Zea mays: one gene and its partner. The protein of the gene in region 1 binds, or shares a complex with, the protein of each later gene. Links are inferred from orthologs where the notes say so. Each region holds a gene or a part of one and is shown on either strand. Other genes may lie near its edges. The genes, in order: uncharacterized protein LOC100501347 and Nucleolar complex protein 2 homolog-like.

Evidence for each region.
Region 2: uncharacterized protein LOC100501347 (region 1) and Nucleolar complex protein 2 homolog-like share a complex: the UniProt entries of both Arabidopsis thaliana proteins name them as parts of the nucleolar complex. The link is inferred for Zea mays from reciprocal best matches to the Arabidopsis thaliana genes AT1G79150 and AT2G18220.

Annotation. Positions count from the first base shown.
Region 1 is NC_050096.1:74,285,302-74,289,767, reverse strand, and holds the start of uncharacterized protein LOC100501347, read left to right. Parts: upstream 1-1,521; 5' UTR 1,522-1,669; coding exon 1,670-1,848; intron 1,849-1,956; coding exon 1,957-2,138; intron 2,139-2,431; coding exon 2,432-2,628; intron 2,629-3,171; coding exon 3,172-3,380; intron 3,381-3,467; coding exon 3,468-3,570; intron 3,571-3,928; coding exon 3,929-4,092; intron 4,093-4,466. UniProt on the Arabidopsis thaliana protein: May be required for synthesis of 60S ribosomal subunits and the transport of pre-ribosomes from the nucleoplasm to the cytoplasm. Also required for initiation of DNA replication.
Region 2 is NC_050100.1:25,926,175-25,930,561, reverse strand, and holds the start of Nucleolar complex protein 2 homolog-like, read right to left. Parts: upstream 2,832-4,387; 5' UTR 2,740-2,831; coding exon 2,724-2,739; intron 2,601-2,723; coding exon 2,464-2,600; intron 1,476-2,463; coding exon 1,398-1,475; intron 1,327-1,397; coding exon 814-1,326; intron 702-813; coding exon 387-701; intron 300-386; coding exon 243-299; intron 1-242. UniProt on the Arabidopsis thaliana protein: Together with SWA2, probably involved in pre-ribosome export from the nucleus to the cytoplasm.

The DNA of each region.
Region 1 (4,466 bases):
GCTTCGCCCGACCCCAGGGCTCGGACTCGGGCTCAGCCCCGGAAGACGACGAACTCCGCTTCGCCCGACCCCAGGGCTCGGACTCGGGCTCAGCCCCGGAAGACGACGAACTCCGCTTCGCCTGACCCCAGGGCTCGGACTCGGGCTCAGCCCCGGAAGACGACGAACTCCGCTTCGCCCGACCCCAGGGCTCGGACTCGGGCTCAGCCCCGGAAGACGACGAACTCCGCTTCGCCTGACCCCAGGGCTCGGACTCAGCCCTAGCCTCAGCCGACGGTCTCCGCCTCGCCCGACCCAGGGGCTCGAACTCGACCTCAGCCTCAGAAGACAGACTCGACCTCGACCTCGGAGGAGCCTCCACATCGCCCAACCCAGGGCACGGACCGACCACGTCAACAGGAGGCGCCATCATTATCCTACCCCAAGCTGACTCAGGCTACGGGGAACAAGACCGACGTCCCATCTGGCTCGCTCCACCAGACAAGTAATGATGGTGCCCCACACGCTCTATGACGACGGCGGCTCTCAGCCCCCTTACGGAAGCAAGAGGACGTCAGCAAGGACTCGACAACCCCGACAGCTGTCCTTCCGCCAGGCTCCAGCGCTCCTCCGACGGCCACGACACCACACGAACCGGGTGCCAAGACCTCTCCGGCTGCCACAATGGCATGTACTTAGGGCGCTAGCTCTCCTCCGCTAGACACGTTAGCACACTGCTACACCCCCATTGTACACCTGGATCCTCTCTTTGCACTTATAAGAGGAAGGACCAGGGCCCTCTTACAGAGGGTTGGCCGCGTGGGGGAAAGGACGGGACAGACGCTCACGTGAGGCCGCTCGCTCCCTCCCGCGTGGACGCTTGTAACCCCCTACTGCAAGTGCACCCGACCTGGGCGCGGGATAAACACGAAGGCCGCGAGATTTCCACCTCTTACGCCCGTCTCCCTCCGGCTGCCTTTCCCCCCTTCGCGCTCCGTCTCGCGCCGACCCATCTGGGCTGGGGCACGCGGCGACAGTTTACTCGTCGGTCCAGGGACCCCCCGGTCTTGAAACGCCGACAGTAGCCTACCCCAACTTGCTTGAGACTAAAAGGCTATGTTGATGTTGATGATGATGTAGGGAGGGGATACATTTTATGAATTGGATGCATGCCCTAGTTGGTCATGCCAGAATTTGGCCATTCTCAAATCAGGTCATTTTTTTACTCCAAATCTTGGCCTACAACCAAATATGATATGTCAAACTTTGGTTTTGATATTTGTTGGCACATGATCAATTTTAGCCCTATATATTTTCGTTTTTTATATAACCGCCTATTCAGAAAAGAAAAAAAGAACCATTATTTCTGATTCTTTCAACCGCCGTTTCAAAATTCCCAAGGGCAAGTAGAGAAGAATCGAATGCTGTGATTATAATCCAATCGAATCCAAAGAAGAAGAAAAAAATAAGGCCTTTCCGGCCCGGTTATAGTATTCAGCAGGCCCGGTTCAGGACCAAACCAGCGGCCCACCAGACCAAGCACGCTTTCTTCTTCCTCTACTCGCGCCGCCGCGTCTCAAGTCTCAACGCTGCGCCAAAACGGCAAAACCCTACCCTGACCTGAACCCCAAACCCGCCGCGCCTCCTCCTTTCTCGTACTGCAATTCGGGACTAGCCGCCGCCAGTCTCGATGGGGAAGAGGAGCGGCAGCAGTAGGAAGGACAAGAACAAGGTCATTCTCCCACCGGAGCTGCCGCCGGAAATACACGACGATGAGGTGGATGTCAGCGAGGAAGACATCGAGTTCTATGCCACCGACAGCAGTAACGTTACACCCTTCCGCCACTTCGACAAGAAGTCCATCGACAGGTTGGTGTCGCTGGGCTCCGGGACGCTGCGCCTCCCAATTCCTCACTTCCCTCCCTTGTTGTTGCATTGCTGTTGATTGAGCGTAGAATTTCCATTTGGTTCGTGAAGGTATGTCGGGAGGGTTGCCGGGCGCGACGAGGGCGAGGTCGAGCGCCTCTACGAAGAGCGCCAGAAGCGGAAGGCCACAGAATCGTCGGGGAGACCCCGCGAGGATGATGATTATTTGGAGGTCGACCCCGTCGACGCACTCCCCACCAAGACGCTGCAAGGGGAGCTCGTCTACAATAGAGGTAAACCGTTCGTGGTTCCAGTAGATACACAATGCCAGTGGCTAATCATAACTATCAAGTCCGAGTTTCTAGTAACGTGATTATTGTAACGACTTTTTAACCTGTGCAAAACTGGAATGTCCTGTAAATTGTAATGCACTTGCAGTTAATAAAACATGTTATCACTTGCAAATGACATTTTTACACATTGGCGTCCGATTATTGAAGAATAATGACGGTGTGTTTTTTCAATTTTGTTCTGTTTATGGTGTAATAGTCACATAATTTTGTAACATGTATGTCATGACATGCAGCTAAGAAAGCAAGGTCTGAAGACAATTCCGGCAGTGTTAAGACTAAAGCTCAAGAGAATGGTGCAAATGCCAAGACAAATACTAAAAAAGATGAATCAAAGGGAAAATCTAAAAACAAAAAGGGAGATGATAATAAAGTGAAAAATATTCAATCCCAAACTGAAGTTCCAAAGGGACAACTACACTCAAATGTGCTGGTATTACTTCTGTTCCTTTTTATAAATATGCATCAGTCAAAATTCATTTTTGAAATCTCTTTTCTAGTTGCTCACTTACTCTAGTTCATTTTAGGGCTCAGGGTGTGTTGGTAGAATAAGTATACCAGTTTCTTGGTTCCTTTCTTTAGAGTAAGGATGTATATATCTGATCATACTATTGTCATGAAGCATGATTGTAATGGATTTTCTATGTTTGGTAGTAAATATGTAAGTATATTAGGCATATTCAACCTCAAGTAAGATATAGAAAGTGGTTTGTATGTACCCCAAACTGAAGGCTCGACAACTCGATGTTGACATAAGAATCATTCACAAAAAAACATAAAATACTATAGGCTGAATAAAACAGAAGATTTTGAGCCAAATTAACTATTTCGCCCATTTTTATCAAAGGTTGGGTCAATCTAACAAACTGCAGAAGTTTTAGTCTGGGAATGTTCTACTGATTTACCATAATCTCTACATTTTCTAATCAAAATTAATTCCCTCACATACCTTTTTACTATGCATGACACATGGCAGGAGGAAGTGAAGGAGGAACTTTCAGCTGAGGAATTATTCGAAAAAAAGAAGGCTCAACTTGCTGAACTGGGGATGTCTATGCTTGAAGATCCTGAGTCGAACATTAGATCTCTGAATGATATGCTAAGTATAAGCAATGACAGAGACCAAAAGGTTGTTAAACTTGGTGTGATGTCTTTGCTTGCTGTGTTTAAGGACGTTATTCCAAGGTATGTTGCAGTTAATTTTTGTTATATACCTTGGCTGGATTTGTTTCTTCCCAAGTCACTTATGCATGTTTTTTATGCACACTTCAGTTATCGGATTAGGCAGCTGACAGAAAAGGAGCTAGCAGTAGAAGTTTCGAAAGAAGTGAAGAAGACAAGATATTATGAGTACACACTTATTCGCTGCTACAAGGTCATGCTTTGGGTGTCCTTCATGCACAGTGATTTTTTTTCTGTCCATGAGCCCATGAACTATGCTAAAAGTAGATACTCCATCCATCCCAAAATATTAGTCATTTTAGCATTTTAATAGATCCATATAATACTCAATGTATGTGTTATATATATATATATATATAATATAATATGTCTAGATTCATTGTCATCCATTTGAATAGACAAAATTCAAGGGCTAAAACGACTAATATTTTGGGACGGAGGGAGTATTATTTACATACTGATTTGAACTGTTCTTCACCTTCGATTTTGGTGTTCTGGATATCTTCCAAAATTCTGATGGCCGAAGTTGGTTTTCTTTTGTGAATTTTCAGGCCTACCTGCAGAAATTGATATCGTTGGAGAAGCAGCCCTACTTTTATACTGTGGCTGTTCGTTGCATGTGTGCTTTATTAGACACTGCCCCACATTTTAACTTCCGTGAAAGCCTATTGGCTAGTGTGGTAAAAAATTTAAGCTCCTCAGATGATGTAGTAAGGTAAATACTCATTTTGCGTGTCAGTGTCAAGTCTTTGCCTGATCTGTTTTTTATTGATTAGATACAAATGTTTTCTCGATTAACATAGGACTACATCAAGTTTCAGCTTTGAGCCCTTATCTATTTGCCTTAGTGATAGATGAGGTCACGAGAGATATACACGGACTCAAGGAGATATCCCTTGGTGTATGCTTTTTGCTGACGATGTAGTTCTAGTAGATGAAAGCCGGGAAGGAGTAAACATGAAACTAGAGTTATGACGTCAGACCCTAGAGTCAAAAGGATTTAGAATTAGCAGGACCAAAATCGAGTATATGAGATGTGACTTTGGTACTACAATTAGTGAGGATGGAGATGTAAGCTTGGGAGGCCAG
Region 2 (4,387 bases), on another chromosome or scaffold:
TTGTTTGTGTGTGTTTGTGTAAGTGGTGTTTAGGTCATTGTAATTATCATCCTTCTTTTAATGAAATGATACGCAGCTCTCCTGCGTGTTCGAGAAAAAAAAACACTGGGGGTGGGGCGATAGCATTTTGTAAAGGTGAGATTTTCTCAATAAAACAGGTGGAAGAATATGGGGAGTTATTTAAGGTCTGATGTTTTAAAGGTTATAGAGTATCAGTAATTGAGTAGCAGTATGAATAATACCTCCGCTTGTTTTTTCGATGATTTGCTACTTTCTTTCTGCCTTTTGTCCTTCACTGACTTTCAAAATAAAATGAGAGGCAAATATCTGTCAGGTCATAGGTAGACAACAAAGTTCCAGTACATGGCAATGAGTTCAATGAATACCTTTGGCCCCCTTTCAGTAAGAGCTCCTCTTAGGATAACCCCCAGTTGACGGATGAAAACAAAAGCATGCTGATACGCACTTTGTGGATCCAGACTATACAATTCTCTGACACAATTTCCAAGGAATTGAATGTGTTGTTGTTTTGATCCGCTGATAGATTTGGACAGTTTGCAGTTCACCAAATAAGCCTTATAGATACCCTTGAGGCAAGTATCAAGGCAATCTGAACCTACTTGAATGCACAAGTCTCGAAGGAACATAAAAGAAACAAGAGGCATTGCACCTCGTCCTCTAGCCCAGGTATGGAGCAGAGCCTACAATTGAAGCGTGCAAACAGAAGTAAATAACAAACTTGGTAGATAGATAGCAGAGCAATGCCAAAAATAACTCAAAGCCAAGGTAAAGTAGAAATTGTAACCTACACACCTTAACATACTTCCTCAGGAGCGATGGGAAAGCTGCCAGAAAAACAGCTGATGCTCTGACACGGTGTACAGTAAATGCTATCATTTGCTCATCGGTCATCTCTGTTATCATATGAAGCGCATTGGCAAGATAGATCCTCATAAGATTACCATGCCTCTTCCATGACTTACTCAGCATCAGCTCACTGATTACCTCTTTCTTCCCTCCATAGCTTGGGGCACCAAGTAATTGACGGAGGACTTTATCCATGTGTTTCAAAACAAAGTGCATAACTTTATCAAGTACGCTGCCAGACATGACACTGAGCTTCGGAGTTGAATTGTCCCCATGATCTTCACCATAATGGCAGGCTCTGCGAAAAGCTTGAAGAATAGAACGGATAGAACCTATCTTTTCATTCTCTACTCCGTTGCACCAGGAATCAACCATTTCCATTGTAATCGGTTTCACATGCTTCAGTTCCTCTTTAGATACATATTGCTCTTTCTCCTCAACCCCAGTCTCCCGGTCGTTCTAAATGTAATGTAGAACAATGACCACTCATCATTCTAGTATAGAAAACTCACAAAAAGGGACCAGCTTACCTCGATTTCATCATCATCATCATCAAATCCCAACAAATCTTTATCAAACTCTTCTAAATATTTATAGAAATCAGGATCCTACATAAAATCAAAAAAGGACATAAGCCTCAAAAACAACCAACATATATTATGGCATGCAGCACAGCAGCAGACAGACAGAAATTAGGAAGGGGAGAAATGCATATTTCTCAAAACGAATAGCTACTTGTGGGCCTTAGGCTAAACTGTGCAACCCTAGTTAACATAGTTCAGGATTTAAGCAACAGATATAATAAGCGGGACACCAATACTATACAAAAATAATCTACCAGGGAATGTTATTGTTTCTAACCAATGAATGTAAATTGAGCAAGTAAAAACCAGGAAAGCTATGCCAGAGTGAGTAATCAAATGTTATGAGCCTATGACAATGCCATTTCCACAATCAGTGAATGGGGCAGGCGACAATTCAAGCCTTAAAGTTAGAGTGTAAGCTCAAGGGATCACTTATTGGAGTATGCAAGATGTTAAATTTAATGCAACAGCAGTTTAGGTCAAAACAGTTATTATGTGGCATTCCTTACTCATTTTGTAGCATAACTACCATTACAATATGGTTAAATTGGGAATGAAACGAACATAGAAAAACATCATCGTTCTACACAATTGTCCACCTCTCAACTTATCTCTATAACACAGATCCACCTCTGAAGGAAGTTGGTCCAACTAATACTATTTTGCAGCCAGTCACTTTATAGCCCATTCTACGATACCTACTATCAGCAGTTTCAAATACTACATTAACTCAGCAGATTGCCAGACTGCAATCAATTTCTGAATCAATTAAAATAGTTACTGTCCACAAGGGCAACCGTACCAGCTTGCAGATTCAATTTAAAAGTATCTACAGGACAAACAGCACAAGGGCACAGGCGAACCTAAAAGTCATATACTCAGGTGGGCAACCAGTAATAATAAAGCATAAGAAAAGAATAGGCACATTCAGGAACTATCAAAAATCCACTTACACTGTTAAGCATCATTTTTAAGTAATAGTAACAATAAACCGGAGGCGACAGGGACAAACCTTTTGCTGCAGCCGCTTGAGCTGCTCCACGTGCTGCTTGGCCTTTTTCTTCGAGCTTCCACCACCACTCTCCCCATCACCATCATCCATCTCATCTTCGAGCTCTTCTTCATCCTCGTCCGAGACGGGCAAGTCCACTAATCCCCCGCCAAAACCACAGCGAAAGGGGAAGAAAACCAATCAAAATCCCAAGTTAAACAAGCGCAATAGCAATAGAGCATAGAGTAACCCACAGAAATGTGGATGGATGAGGAGCCCACCGTATTCGTCGGACATGGCTACAGCCGGCGGCGGCGCGGGCGCGGAGGCGGAGGCGCCCTAGTTCAAGCGGAAGAGCACGGCTGCACGGGGTGTCGCGAACTGCCGACGCCCTCACAAGCGTCAGTTAAGGGCTTAAGGCTTGCTCGTTTGGGCCGGAACTGGCCGGGTTAGGGCCCAATCCCCGGGAGTCGATTTTACTATAAGGGCCAGTTCAAAACGTCTCTGAATTAAAAGGAATTAAGGGGAAAATAAACTATGTTTTTGCTCAATCTTCTCCGAACACGAAGGAAATTTAAGGGCATGTTTGGTTCGTAGCTAAATATAAAGATGAAAACGGTCAGAAACGGTCGGTAAACACTAAAACCATTACCGTTTTCATATTTTTTATCGGAAACAAAATCGAAAACGGTAACTCCGGAAACGGAAATGATATCGATATTTCGGAAACATCGGAAACGAAAGTTTGGTGCGGAAAATACACCGGTAACGGTCGGAATCTAAAATACAATCGGTGAATATATCAAACTTCATAATACAACAAAGTTGACAAAAGATCACAAAGACCACAAGTTCACAATTCATGATATAACAAGTTCACAATATAAAAAGTTCACAAGGATTAAAAATTTATAATATAAAAAGTGTACAAAGATCACAAGTTCACAATATAACAAGTTCATAGTAAATAAGTTCATAAAGATCACAAGTTCATAGACTCAAAGTTCATAATTCATAATATCCACTTGATCTAGCTGACATGCATGCTTACTTATGAAATATTTTTTCCTCACATAAAGAGTTTTTCACAACCTCACAGGAAAACCCTAAAACCTAGTGTGTGGAAAAGACCAAATTGTTAATCTCAACTGCCTTCCAACACCATCTATCCAAAAAAATTCTAAAGGTGTCCAAAAAATACAAAAATAAGTAATCCTTATCTAGAGACGTACAGACGATGCGAAAAATCACATGCTGGAAAATTCCGAAAAATTCCGAGACACAATTCCGAAAAATTCCGAGACACAATTCCGGAAAATTCCGAGACACAGATCCGGTAATTTCCGACAAAAACCGGTAACCGAAGGAAACGGTCGGTAAAACACCACGTCGATTCCGATACCGATTCCGATAGAAAATTCCGAAAACCGATTCCGTTTTCGAAAAATACCGTTACCGATGAATCCGACCGAAAAATTTCGAAATCGGTTTCCGGAATACCGAAAAATTCCGAAACCGTTTTCATCCCTAGCTAAATATGTCACACTTTGCCTAAGGTTAGTCGTCCGAATTGAATAACTAACCTTAGACAGAAAAATTAGGCAAAGTGTGGTAAGTTAAATAGCAAACCAAACATGCCTTAAGTTTCCAAACTATACTTAGGCCTTGTTCGGTTATTCCTATCCTATATGAATTGGATGAGATTGAACAAATTATAAAAATTTTTGACTTATTTAAGATTTAAACTCATACGATCCCACCTAATCTACATGGATTGAAAGCAAAACGAACAAGCTCTTGAGAGTGCAACCAAATCAATTAATACAAACGGTTTAACCAAGACACACGGATGATAAAATTAACTTCTTAAAAACATCACTAGGTATATGCCCATGCGTTGCAACGGACGACACTTATACACGCATAGATCATTATTTAGTGTTAC